Mytilus edulis: one gene and its partner. The protein of the gene in region 1 purifies or fractionates together with the protein of each later gene. This does not show direct contact. Links are inferred from orthologs where the notes say so. Each region holds a gene or a part of one and is shown in the gene's direction. Other genes may lie near its edges.

What was found. The genes of interacting proteins can lie anywhere in the genome.
Region 2: the proteins of proton-coupled zinc antiporter SLC30A1-like (region 1) and xyloside xylosyltransferase 1-like purify together in Homo sapiens (co-immunoprecipitation; 3 studies listed by BioGRID and IntAct, with this or other methods). This does not show direct contact. The link is inferred for Mytilus edulis from reciprocal best matches to the Homo sapiens genes SLC30A1 and XXYLT1.

Annotation. Positions count from the first base shown.
Region 1 is NC_092350.1:45,663,308-45,670,441, reverse strand, and holds the start of proton-coupled zinc antiporter SLC30A1-like, read left to right. Parts: upstream 1-4,126; 5' UTR 4,127-4,245; intron 4,246-4,294; 5' UTR 4,295-4,892; intron 4,893-7,134. UniProt on the Homo sapiens protein: Zinc ion:proton antiporter that could function at the plasma membrane mediating zinc efflux from cells against its electrochemical gradient protecting them from intracellular zinc accumulation and toxicity.
Region 2 is NC_092356.1:48,352,077-48,359,076, reverse strand, and holds the start of xyloside xylosyltransferase 1-like, read left to right. Parts: upstream 1-3,947; 5' UTR 3,948-3,973; coding exon 3,974-4,396; intron 4,397-7,000. UniProt on the Homo sapiens protein: Alpha-1,3-xylosyltransferase, which elongates the O-linked xylose-glucose disaccharide attached to EGF-like repeats in the extracellular domain of target proteins by catalyzing the addition of the second xylose.

The DNA of each region.
Region 1 (7,134 bases):
TTCAGTGATAATGAACGCCATACTAATTTCCGAATTGTACACAAGAAACTTAAATTAAAAAAATACAAGACTAACAAAGGCCAGAGGCTCCTGACTTGGGACAGGCGCAAAAATGCGGCGGGGTTAAACATGTTTATGAGATCTCAACCCTCCCCCTATACCTCTAGCCAATGTAGAAAAGTAAATGCATAACAATACGCACATTTAAAATTCAATTCAAGAGAAGTCCGAGTCTGATGTCAGAAGATGTAACCAAAGAAAATAAACAAAATGACAATAATACATAAATAACAACAGACTACTAGCAGTTAACTGACATGCCAGCTCCAGACTTCAATTAAACTGATTGAAAGATTATGATTTCATCATATGAATATCAGGCACAATCCTTCCCGATAGGGGTTTAGTATCATACCATCACTAACATATATGAGAAGAACATAACTCGTGTCATGCCAACAACTGTTTTTTTAATAAATGTGTTTAGTTCCGATGCAAAGACCCTATAAGTGAATCAATATTAACGCCAAAATAAGCAATCTTTAGTGACCTGACAACAGTATCGTAACTATATCCCTTCTTGATAAGTCTATTTAAAGGTTTTGTTAGTTTCTGAGGTGAATACTGACATTTTTGTGCTTTATAAAGAATATTTCCATAAAAAATTGGATGTGACTACCTGAACGTATAAGAAGTCTGCATGTTGAGCTATATTTACGAATGATGTCCTTATACCGATGATAAAATTTAGTAAATGTTTTGACTAGTTTGTGATATCGAAAACCCTGGTGTAATAATTTTTCAGTAATACATAAATTTCTCTCGTTAGAATCTAAAACATTGTTACATACACGAGCGAATCGTACAAGTTGAGATATATAAACACCGTAAGATGGTGACAATGGAACGTCACCATCTAAAAATGGATAATTAACTATAGGAAATGAAAAATCATCTCTTTTATCATAAATTTTCTCAGTATAAAATTATATATAGAAAGAGACCAAAGGATTTGTAAGAAATCTACTCTACTGAAATCTGGTTTAAGATGAACAACATTTTATAACTAGTTGTCCAGCATACACATATACAAAAAAGATAGGGAGATTTTCAAGGAGATAAACTGTATCTGTCCTAATTTTATATATCTTTCAAATGAGCAAAATTTGTTTGGTTACTTACTAATAATTATATTAGATGTATGTTTCATTGTAATACTTTATTCTGATAGGCTAACTGCACATCACATGTTATTCCTTAAACAATTGCATCACTAAATAAAACTTTTCATTCATGATAACACGTGGTCCCACAATAAAGTGCAGAGGTGAATTAAAATAAAAATATATATAAAATTCGTGTTTTTATGATCATAGCTAAAAAAAATGTAATTATAAGTATTGAATGCTTCTTTTTGTAACTTCATAGGGTTGTAAAAGCATTGACCGTGCGCACATTTTTAGAATGAAGCGCTGCTTCATACAAAATGTACTTCGGTCAACGCTTTTACACCCCAATGAAGTTACAAAAAGAATCATTCAACATGTTCAATTCTTAAATGAAAATTTGTCTGTGCTTAAATATTTAGAGAGCTATATTATTACATGTCTAGATGTTAGACGAAATGTTAATTAATGTATGTAAAAACAATGATAATTGTAATGATTTTATGGTTCTGATCCTGCCTTGAATCAAATGTATGTGATTTTTATAGAATGAAGATAATAACATCTGTCTGAACTATTTTTTAATGTTTCATTTTAGTATATAAAAATGTTTTTCTGTTACAAATCATGATGTATTGTTTTATGTGTACATGTTATGCTGCCAATCAAGGGCCATTGATTGGAATAATAAATAAATTTATTCTTATTCTTATATTTGTCTCTGCTTTAATATATAAATTTAACAGTTTTTGAATTGTATGTTACGATTGATACCAGAATAAATTAAGAATTTGTCTACGTAACCAAAAGGCTAGTATTATGAATAACGGTAAACCTAAATGGAAATTGAGGCTTATAATGTTATTTCTGAAGTGTTTAATAGTCGTCCTTGACATGCATGACATGTTTGCCACCGAACGCCAAACTAACAAGATTAAACTACAAAATGATCAATTTAAAAAAAATGATAATAACACCTCGAATAACACCGATAACCTTTTGAACTCTGTCTGAACTAGTTCTAAATCGCTTTTTACGTTAATTTTGAACAGGCGCCGCGGCTATGTAATATTGTTTGCATAAAAAATTACAACAATGTACACGCTATCCATGTAATTTAATACTTGCTGCATTTCATCACACGATTTTTATGGTTGTAATTTTTGTAGTCATGCTCGCTGAGCATGCATGAATAACCATTTCAGGCCTATACACTTAGATCTACTGTTTCAATTAATTAGAATCTGATTCTTATAAAAATCGTATTTTCGCAGGATTTGACCGGGAATTGTATAAGTTTTTGACAGGTAGTTTAAAGGTCAATATATAGACTGGTGTGGAAATCTCGTGATCAGGGTCAGAGACATATGGTAACATATTGTATGTCTATGTGCAGGTGGAAGAAAGGTCCGCTTATGTAGGACTTAAGGTATCGTGCAAATAGTGCCCCCTATGCGTAGTAATAATATGATCTAAAAATAAAATAAACTAAAAATACATTATTCTACTTTCTAATTACACTGATACTTGGAAACATAAAAGAAATAATCCTAACGTATATAAGTCACATAATTATAAACTAATTTCTTCAATCTAAATGTAGGAATTCGTTAACATGATGGAAATTGAGTAGTTTATGTCATGTATTTGGTAAGTGACCTCAGGTACCCTTGTCATGAAAGACTGATTTATAAAAAATACGCATTTAAAAAAACTAGTATATCTATAATGCGGTGACAAGAAGAAGAAGAAGAAGAAGAAGAAGATGATGAAGAAGAAGAAGAAGAAGAAGAAGAAGAAGAAGAAGAAGAAGAAGAAGAAGAAGAAGAAGAAGAAGAAGAAGAAGAGAAGAAGAAGAAGAAGAAGAAGAAGAAGAAGAAGAAGAAGAAGAAGAAGAAGAAGAAGAAGAACAACATGATGGACATCGCATACTGTCATGTGATACATTTCATAATGTGAACTGAGTTAACTTGAGTTAAATGGTTAAATATGTTGGTGGTTTTTTTTTTGTGGTGACCTAAGGTACCCCTGTCATGAAAGTATGCCCACGAAGTCCTACGTTTAAAATAAAGATTTTTTTGAAATTAATCTATCACAGAATAATCATATGAAATTATCTTTAACACATTTAAATTATGACATAAACTGTATATTTATGCAATATAAAAAGATGTGGTATAATTGTCAATGAGACAACTATCCACAAAAGACCAAAATGACACAGACATTAACAACTATAGGTCACCGTACGGCCTTCAACAATGAGCAAAGCCCATGCCGCATAGTCAGCTATAATAGGCCCCGATAATACAATGTAAAACAATTCAAACGAGAAAACAAACGGCCTTATTTATATAAAAAATGAGCGAAAAACAAATATGTAACACATAAACAAACGAAAACCACTGGATTACAATATGCAATGTTCATCATGTCCATGAAGTCCTCCAGTTAGAATGAAGAAATTAGTTTACTACAACATAATATATACCATAGTATAGTATGTACTTTTCTTAAATTACGGAGGTTACCTGAGTTCTGCCAAAAAACACCATAAAATACAACCAATTCCTCTCCAATAAACTCAGTTTACCATACAAAAAAATACATAACACGAACAATACAACGACCACGAAGTCCTACATTTAAAACGAAGAAATAAGTTTATTACAGCATAATTATATAACCAAGAATTGTATTTATTTCTTTTGAATTAAGTCACATTTAAATTGGTATTAAGATTGATCCAAATAGGGAACTATATTTTCGTGTAAATCAATCGATGACAAATCCCCCGATACCCGAGGGCACCTGATACCTTAGGTCCTACCTCAGCGGACCTATCTTCCACCTGCCGTCTATGTCTATGTTCTATGTCAGGGTCAAGGTCTATATGAACTAGTATTGTCTATTAATAGCTATATATATATATATATATATATAAGCTATGTCAATCTCCAAGTAACCGATCGTGCAAGGGTTGCATGCTAGTTCATCGTCATCTCAAACTAAAACTGCTATGACATATGACATATAATATGTTATAGTAGTTTCAGTCGCCAAGGGAGATAAAGTGTATGTTATCTCTTAACACCATTTAATAGGTTAAACTCTTGAGGTTAAACTAGGACATGTGCTCACCGGTGGTCAATAGTTTGAATATGCCGACAGTCTCACACTTGGACTTAATGCTATAGAACGTGATTATTGTTTTGTGAGGGAAGTGAACATTTTGTGTAGTGGTGACTTCTCCAAATTTGTATTTCAAACATTTTCTATATTGATATCAAGAATTATTTAATGCGTGCGACACGTTCACAATTTACAGTAAGCCTTATCTTTTGAATAGTTGTCTCCCCTGTACATCTTCTTTGATAGAAAGATACTAAAATTTATCAATAATTTGCAAAAGTCAGCTGTTTTACATTGTATTTCGTTAATCTGTGCGTTATTGGTAGCTGAGATTAAATATTTTTTTAACAGAAATTACACGGCAGTGAGGCAATGGACACGTTTTCTTCATTGAATTTCAACACATAATTGCTGTTCCGGCGTAGCAACCCACGAAAATTTTGCACACTGAACGTTTGAAAATGTAAAAGGCCGGGTGCATATTTTAAAATTTATTCATCATGAAAGGTGTTTTTGTGCAAAATAGGAATTGAAGAATTGGAACATCCTGGTTTGATTTTAAGCTCTGGAAATTTTTGAATTCGAAACCATTCGGTAAGTTATCCAAATTTAATGTCTTTATCTTCAAACTTGTCTAAATTATGCATTGCGGTTTTGGTTTTGAGGCTGCTCTCGTCTACAGTCGAGAATGTATATATTTTGAAATGAATTTAGGGAACTATTTTTCTCAGCAAATCTTGAACAAATAGATATAGGAAGATGTGGTGTGAGTGCCAATGAGACAACTCTCCATCCAAATAACAATCTAAAAAATTAAACCATTACAGGTCAACAGTCAGTGTATGGCCTTCAACACGGAGCCTTGGCTCACACGAACAACAAGCTATAATGGGCCCCAAAATTACTAGTGCAAAACCATTCAAACGGGAAAACCAACGGTCTAATATAGTCTATATTGGATGAGACCTGTATTTTACTGTTCATCTGTTATAACTTATAGGTTCCTAAGATGAAGGACAATGATCATGAAAAGTTGTTGAAAGTAGACAAAAATTATGTTGTGTAATTTTTGTTTGTCTCTAAAATGTATATTTATTACTTTTGTAGAGTCTTCACGTGTAATTCTGTCTGAGGTTATGTGTTATAACATGTAATTTAAGTTTTGCAGAAATGTCTTGGTCATTACCAGATCAATACTCTTTATACTGTGATTGAAAAGTATTTGAGTACATGTCATGTATGTTGCATCTTGCATACATTCTATATTGTTGTCAGCTTGCAGGGTAAAATATTTATAACAATACAGGAATAATTATCATGAATTTTGCATTTTATGTTTTCACAATGATCCATATTCTTCCTACATTTTTTGTACTTTTGTGTTTAATTGTTTAAAATGCGTATTGCTACATGTTCATTATCTGGTTACAATACATGGCATATATATATATATGATATTTGGAGTACATGGAGTACAATAGTGACCTATAGTTGTTAATTATATAATGTCTGTGTCAGTTTGGTCTCTTAGCTTGTGGACAGTTGTTTCATTGGCAATCATACCATACATGTATCTTCTTTTTTATTTTGTAAGGGCTGTATAGCCAGTCATGGTTGTTAAAAGCTTACATCATAGTAGGTCATGTAGGTACATGCTTGGCAGGTGTACCTTTAAAAACATATTTGCACACAGAACCCTGTTAAAATGGGAAAGGCTGGGTGCAAACATTTTGTATTTCAACATAGAACCCTAAATATCTGTGAGAGGCTGGGTGCATAATTAACCTAATTTTTTAGATCTTTTTTTTTAAACTTTAATACATTTTTGACTTATCAATTGTACAAAAATATGATATACATATATATGTACATGTAATTTTTTTTATAATCGTGTATAAAATGTATAATGAATAGCAACACTATGCTAATCAAAATTGTCCTTAGCCATAGGAAATTTCTGTTCTAGATTATGTACATGTAGCTAGACTATCCAAATAATGTAAATTGCCTTGATGCAAAATCTGTACATGCTGTAAGTCTAGGAAAAAAGAAGTATAGTATTGAAAGTTGATTAACTGTTCTTAATACTGAGATGTAATTAAAAATGATATAAGTTAAAATTGACATACACATAACATAGTTTTGAAAGAAAATACTATATGTACAATTGTAAAAGAGGCACGAAAGATATCAGAGGGACATTCAAGAATCTTTGAATATTTATCATGATTATGATTCTGGTTAAAATGTGCCATCATCACCATATTATACATTCAAATGACATGATAAAAATAAACATGATAAATCTTATGTCACAGAAGAACAATTTTTAAGCATTTTTGTTAAACTTTTAAATTGAAGATTTATTTTATTTACAAGGTTTTTTATTCAGAAATATATCTTTAGCTATAGCATTATATATACTATATCCAACAGTTTTCTATGGGAACTTTTTATACTGTCATTTGAATGTATAATATGGTGATGATGGCACATTTTAACCAGAATCATAAACATGATCAATATTCAAAGATTCTTGAATGTCCCTCTGATATCATGGATATGATACCAGGATAAACTTCCATAATAGTGTTGATTGATTGGTTGTTGGTGGCCACTTTCAGCATGTTCATGTACTAGCATGACTATTGGCTACATATGTGTTTGTCAGCATGGTCAGTTTGTGTTGGTGGATGAATCTGCAACGCCCACAGAGAACCACTGATTATGCTACTGCAGAAAAACTTCCATATCAATTCATCTATTTTTACATCATACATGTACATGTATGATGAAATGATTTTCCTCAAATATATTTTCAATTATTTAATGCACC
Region 2 (7,000 bases), on another chromosome or scaffold:
GATTTTTTTGGTTCACTCATTAATGAAAGAGAAAAAGTGAAATAATAGTTCGCTTTCAGTAACCACTAACTTTGTTAAAATAAGCTCCGAAACATTGATAATGAGTTATTTACTTGCAAATGAATAATTCGACCTCATTGAATCCGTCTCCATGTGAACTTCAATTAAGTTATTTAAGGGAAAAGAATGTAAACATTGAAGTGAAAAAAAGCCATAAATCAATTGATTGACTGATTCGATCCACAAAAAAAATCATTCTTATACAGGTAAAAACGATGAGTAGCATATATTTTAATCAATAATATCAAATTACACAGACTTATAAAAATCAATCAAAGTTACACGAGTTCTTAATCTATTTATATCTATATGTATGTGTACATAGCTTATATGACCATCGGAGGTCTTCGGATGTCAACTCGATAGTCTTAAATTAGATGGTGTCTAAACTAAAATGCACACGAAACAAAGATACATATGTGGAGCCAAAGCCCTGTAAATTGTTTATTTTAGACTTTTTTATAATTTGGATAAATGTTTTACATTGTTATTAATTAAATATAAGGAGTCGAATCTGTGAACATAAATTTGACAGCTAGTGCCATTCTAAAAAACATATATAAAAGACATATCCATTGATAAGTAAATAATTTTAACTGCAATAGAAAAAAACACAAAAAAATATTATACCAGGCCTATAAAAAATTTTATAAAATTATTTATGGGTAGAAATTCAAGAGGCTGTGAATATTAAATTTCTCTATCTTTGTTAAAAGCCGATTAATTCCGACTACGTTTTTTCCATTTCTATGTTCAATCATGTAAAGCACATTTATTTCAAACCATATAATCTAAAGTAAATTTTCTGGGAAAATATCAAAATTTTTGACAGAGTTGTGTTTTTTTCGAAAATGTTTGGTTAAAAGTGGAAAAAAACGTAACCGGTAATTTGCAATCTCCCATACAGACAGAGTTATCGTCCTTTCCTCTCCATTGAGAAGGGACGACCCATACAGACAGAGTTATCGTCCTTTCCTCCTCATTGAGGAGGAAAGGACGATAACTCTGTATACTCTGTCTGTATGGGAGATTGAGGAAAAATAATTAGTAATAAAATTAAATGTGTCCCTTGAGAACTTTCTTAATTAAGAGAAACCAATACTAGGCGACAATTAACATTATAAATTAACAAGTAGTTATAAAATAATTACTAGACAACTCTGGAAATACTAAAAAAAATTGTGTTCTCCCTGCAAACACATGAAAAAAGAATGAAATGTGTTCCTTAGAAACATGAACAATTTCTAATATAAGCCCATACCAGGAGGGGGGGAAATTGACAACAAGTAGTAAATTTTTTTTAGACAAACCTGGAAACATAACAAAATGTTGCCCCTGAAAACATAACAAAATGTTGCCCCTGGAACCACACAAAAATGTTTCCACTGGAAACACAAAAAAATGACAATAAGTACAATTATATACATATTTTTTTTTAACACTCAGTCTGTTAAAAAAAAGAAGAAAGTTTATTTAAATGCAATCCGTAAAAAATTTAATAGACTTTAAAGCTACTAAAAGAGGGAGATCCATGTGTACCCCGACATGTATATATTACAACTAAAATGATTTCACAGTTCTTCATTTTCTGTTTGCTTTTGTATCAGTTTTTGTCAACACATAATAGCGCTTGGAATGAAGTGTAAACAGTTGGCGACATAGCGGTACCAAGTGATTAGCGACTCTATCTTCAACATCCTTGCACATCTTCTTCGGTAGGTAATGATAAGGGTTAATAATTAATGTTATTAAGTCAATAGGAGTTTGCAGGCTCTCTCTTGCTATGGCCAGACTACCTTCGTGTAGAATTTTGACGATAAGGGATGACCTTATTTGTGACGTTGTTTCACACAATAAGATAAAATTTTCAATGGTTTCGTCAGCTTTATTACAGAGTCTACACATCGGATTTGTTGCATAATTTGAATACTCCGCTTTATTAGATTGTAGTATGTAGGTTCCTGTAACTAATTTAGTGCAGATGGACAGTTTCTTGATCTCCGTTATATTTGCACTTGTTGTTTTAAGTAAAGGATGAATTCTGCCAATATCATATTCACATTTAAGATATCTTAGAGTTGAGTACCCCTTCATTCTGGTCTTTATGGCACCCTCCCAGTACTTGTGAATCTTTTTGGTTATAAACCTCTTCCATTCCATTTTTGTTAATGGCTTATCAAGATACTGTTCTATCTCTATGATGTCATATTTGCCACATATCTTTTTCAGATCAATAAACCAGCTATTGCTTGAGTAGGTTTTAATTTGTAGTTGTCGTTCAGCTATTCTCCATTCTAAGGACGATCTTTGAGATCTGGTTATATTCCCATATAGTGTGACAATTTTAATATGGATCTGCTTCAAGTGGGAGCAAGCCTGATAGTATATAGATAGACAGTCGGGTCAGCCACATTTAGTTTGAGAGATAAAATCTGTTTAATCCACCTTTTATGTTGCTGTTGTATAAGATCTAAATTTTTGCCTGTTGGTATTAAAACTTCTAGACCATAGGTCAAAACTGGTAAGATGTAAGTTCTAAATAAGGAGACTATTGTTTCAGGGTCTAATCAATTTTCCCCATGTAATCCAGCACCCATAAGACTGTACATAGATCTTCTGGCCTTTTTTATATTTTCAGTGATGGTTGTATTAGTAGAGTCTTTTTGAGATTTTTTTATACCAATATGAGAGGAGTCTTGAACAATGGGCATATCTATATTTTTAAGTTTCCAAAAACCTTGTTCAACATCTAGCATTTTATTACATGTTTTGATTGGTTAGACTACACTTTTTTGAGGCTGTAGTAGATATCCCTCTCTTTGGCTGAAATCAACTGCTAAATTTATCATATTTTGGAGTTCAAAGGGATTAATTTGCTGGATATCAAGGCAATATCGTCAGCACAAGTTGGCGCACAACAGTTCATATTCCCAATTTTAGCTCCCAATCCAGAATTGCTCAGAATATGCAGTAGGGGGTTGATACACCCTGTCTTACACCTTGCTCAATATTAAACAATCGATTTGACATTGTATTGCCCAATTTTACACAGGAAGTTGCATTTTCATATAAATTGCTGATCAGTAAAATAGATTGCTGTGAGAATCCAATTTGAAAAAGACGTCGTATCAGGTTTTTATGAATTACAACATCAAAAGCAGATTTTCCATCCAGTAATGCAACATAGGTTGGTAACTTGAGATCTTTATTTTCTCTTTCGAATTTCTCAATGAATAGTTCACAAAGCAATGGAGTGGATTTTGCTGTGAAACCTTTTTGCAGTGGGTTTTGATGTTTCAAAATCTTATTATTTTCCCTTCCTTTAATTATAATTTCTATGATCTTCGAGTAGGTTGGTGTTATAGTGATCCCACGGTAATTTTTAGCATTCTTTATGTCACCTTTGTTTTTGAAAACAGGAAAAAGAGTTCCAATTTTAAGTAAATTTGGTATGTAACAGTGTTCAAAACTTGTGTTAATTAAAAGTTGAAGATATTCTAAAAGTGTTTCGCTGGCATGAATGAAATTTTCAGCTGTGATTCCATTGGATACCGGTGTTTTAAAAATTACTTTGTTTCCCGGGGAAATTGTTTCTCAGGGAAATAAATTGACGAGAACTTTAGTCAGCTGCGATTGGCAGGGAAAGGACGATAACTCTGTCTGTATGGGAGATTGGGTAATTTGACCGGCTTCCAGACCACTTTCTGATATAAGCACATTTCAAAATCAAAATAGTTCAATACAATTCACAAGCTTTCATAATTCGTTTTAATTTTTTATTTTTTGAACAACCGTTACTTAGAAATTACTTAAAATATATGTCAATTTTACATTTTCTTTTTTTAAGACCTTCCCGGGATTGTATACATATTTTTGACGATAACTATGCAAACGATGCATCTGAATACCGAATATGAGATCATCTGGTGTTCTGAAGATACTTGCTTTCCTTATTACATGTGTTATAATTATTATTTGCTACCAAATTCTTTTGACAACATCTTTTTTTAATCACATTGACTCAAAAATACCACAAGCAGACCCTGTGCCTTTAGGGAAAGGAGTGGGCAATGTGAAAGTTATTTTGGAAAACGAACCGCAGGTCACTGCTAAGGCCCAGAAAAATGAACCAGTACATGAAATTAACGTTGTAATTACATTTACAAATGCCAAAGACAACACAAATCTACAACAAAAGTTCCAAACAACTGTTTTGTCAATGTTTAAATGGACAACTACGCCTGTCAACATTTACATAATTGGTGACCAAGCTAGTCAGGTCATCGCAGATGCAATCTTAAAACAAGCTGTCAGTAAATACAATAAACAATACAAGGTAATATTATAATCAATAAGCATATTTATTTTAATTATGCATACAGTTGAACAACACAATAGACCTTATTGCTATTTGGAAACCTGCATTGGTTGACCCAAGGATTTGTATAGTATACTATAGAATTATAGAATAGAATAGAATATTTTTATTTCCCTAATTACAGGGCCCATAAAGGGCATAAAATCAGATACAATTAATTTATATAATTGACACCAACAACAATAATAGTTTGCATATACATATATATTTGGAATATAAGCATTGGTCAGAATGAAGCTAAAAACCACATATATATTGTGAATAAAAGAATGATAAAATTACATTATATACATGTATATATATATGTATTTTTTCTCAAATTATTTACTTGACTTAGTGTCAGTGTTCATTCCTGATCTCCTTAATTCAAAACAGTCAAAAATATAACAGCCAAGTTTTTCAAGAGTAACATTTTCTTGGGTCAAGAGCCATAAAAATTTAGAAGATTTATTTAAATTTATAAAGTTATAACAATTGTTAGAAATGTCTTGAAAAAAATTGTCCCTTTGAATATCATAAAGAGGGCTTTCTAATAAAAAATTAAGCTCATCTTCAACTTTACCAAGGGAGCAATTAGAACATAGACGCTCAAATCTTTCTATATGTTTTTTTTAATATCTGTCTGTCTCAATTTTTATGGAGTGAGCGCTTATTCTTAATTTACAAATTGACTGTCTTTTTTTGAAGTCCTGTAATTCTAAATATTTTTCCTTTTTAAAACAATTTTTTATAGAAAAATAAGTACCAAGCTTCCCTTTTTCGGAGTCAATTGTTTGATACTTCAGTTTATTCCAAAATATTAAATAACTTTTACATAGTTTTACTATAGATACAAATCCTTGGTTGACCCAAGTCAAGAATCTGCTCCTCTTTAGAAGGGGGTTGGAGGGGTCCTGATCCTGAAATCCTGAGGTCCCAAACATTAAAAAAAATAAATCCCTACATCCTGCATCTGTGTACAGACTCAATGAACAGTTTGGAAATTATTAAGGCCTGCATGCTGGCATCCACTAAATAAAAGTTAAAATTATTTTGCATATATACTACATGTATATGATATACATGTAAGAAAGATGTAAGATAAAGTAAGATACAATTCACTTTGAGGTGTGCAAAGATGAACTTTGATTTCAAAATTGCTTCCCTGATTTTCAAAGATACTTCACTTCCAAAAGTATGAATTATCAAACACGTTAAAATTTGGTAAACCCAAATTGTGAAATAATATAAATCAAACCTTTCGGGTCCATCAATTTTTATGTCCAATTATTATAATACCAGTACACAAAAATGCAAGCTGATCTCAAGCTGTTTCACTCAAACATTCATATTTTTAGGTTAAAAAAAAATAAAAAATTGAGAAATGTTTGTTTTCCACTTTTATACATGGTATTTTATTAAAAGTGCATCCAGTATATATTGACCTGGATCAGCTTAGAGCCAGATCAACTTGGGTCGGGATTAATTTGTTGATGGAAAAGCCTGATCACAATGCATATACCCATCGTGGCTTGTCAAGCATAAACCTTACCTGTTGACAAGTCCCACACATGTGATTCTTCTTGGGGGAGTCAAAATCTCCCAATTTTGTCCCTCCTGTTAATAATTTAAATCTTCTTTTTTTTTCGAAAATTAGATTCAAAAATCTTTTCAGTGAACTTTTCAATGTTATACAATTGATGTCATTCCCTAATTGACCTTTGTGTCATTCAAATCAAAGTGATTATTACAAGCAAATTCAGTGGAAAACTCACTGGGTTCAATTGACATCTTTGGTGTGAAACAACCCGTTAATTAACGTCTATTATCTCAGCCATATAGGTCATAAATAAATCTGTGTTTTTCAAACTGTAGGGAATTAATTTTGGAGTTATTCCCCCTGTTTTAGCTTTTTGCTTATATATGTGCTGGTAAAATATTATCTATTACTGAAAATAAGAATGCAATACAAATTGAACTCAAAGCTATATTAGAATGATACCATAAGGGCTAAAACTTTCTTTGAACATGCCAAAAAAAGTATATTGCATATTATTTTTGATTATCCCTTGTCAATGTTGTCCCTATGCCCTCTTTTTTGAAGCTTTGGAAATTATGCCCCTTATAGTTCTTGTATTCAATATCTCCAGATATTGTTGGGAGCCTCACAATATTTTTCAAATTCAAAATCGTTCATTGAAAAATGTCTCTTAACAAGTAGGTAAAATCTCTAACTTTTGTGAAAACAAGATATCTGTAGCCTTATTATGAAAAGTCAGTCAACCAAAAGTCAGATCTAAAGCTGCAGATGAAAGGATAAAAAAAATCTGATCAACTTAAATTTTCATGAAATTTGGGCATTTATTTTCAGTGGCGGATGCAGGAATTTTCGAAAGGGGGGGTGCTAGCCCAGGGCAAAGGGGGGGTGCAAAGTTGCAAAACATATGTCCCGATTCAAATGCATTGATCGGCCAAAATAAAGGGGGGGTGCGCACCCCCGGAACCCCCCCCCCCTGGATCCGCCACTGATTTTAAAGTCATTTGAAATGAGTGAGTGGCGAAAAAAAATGTTTATCCAATTCT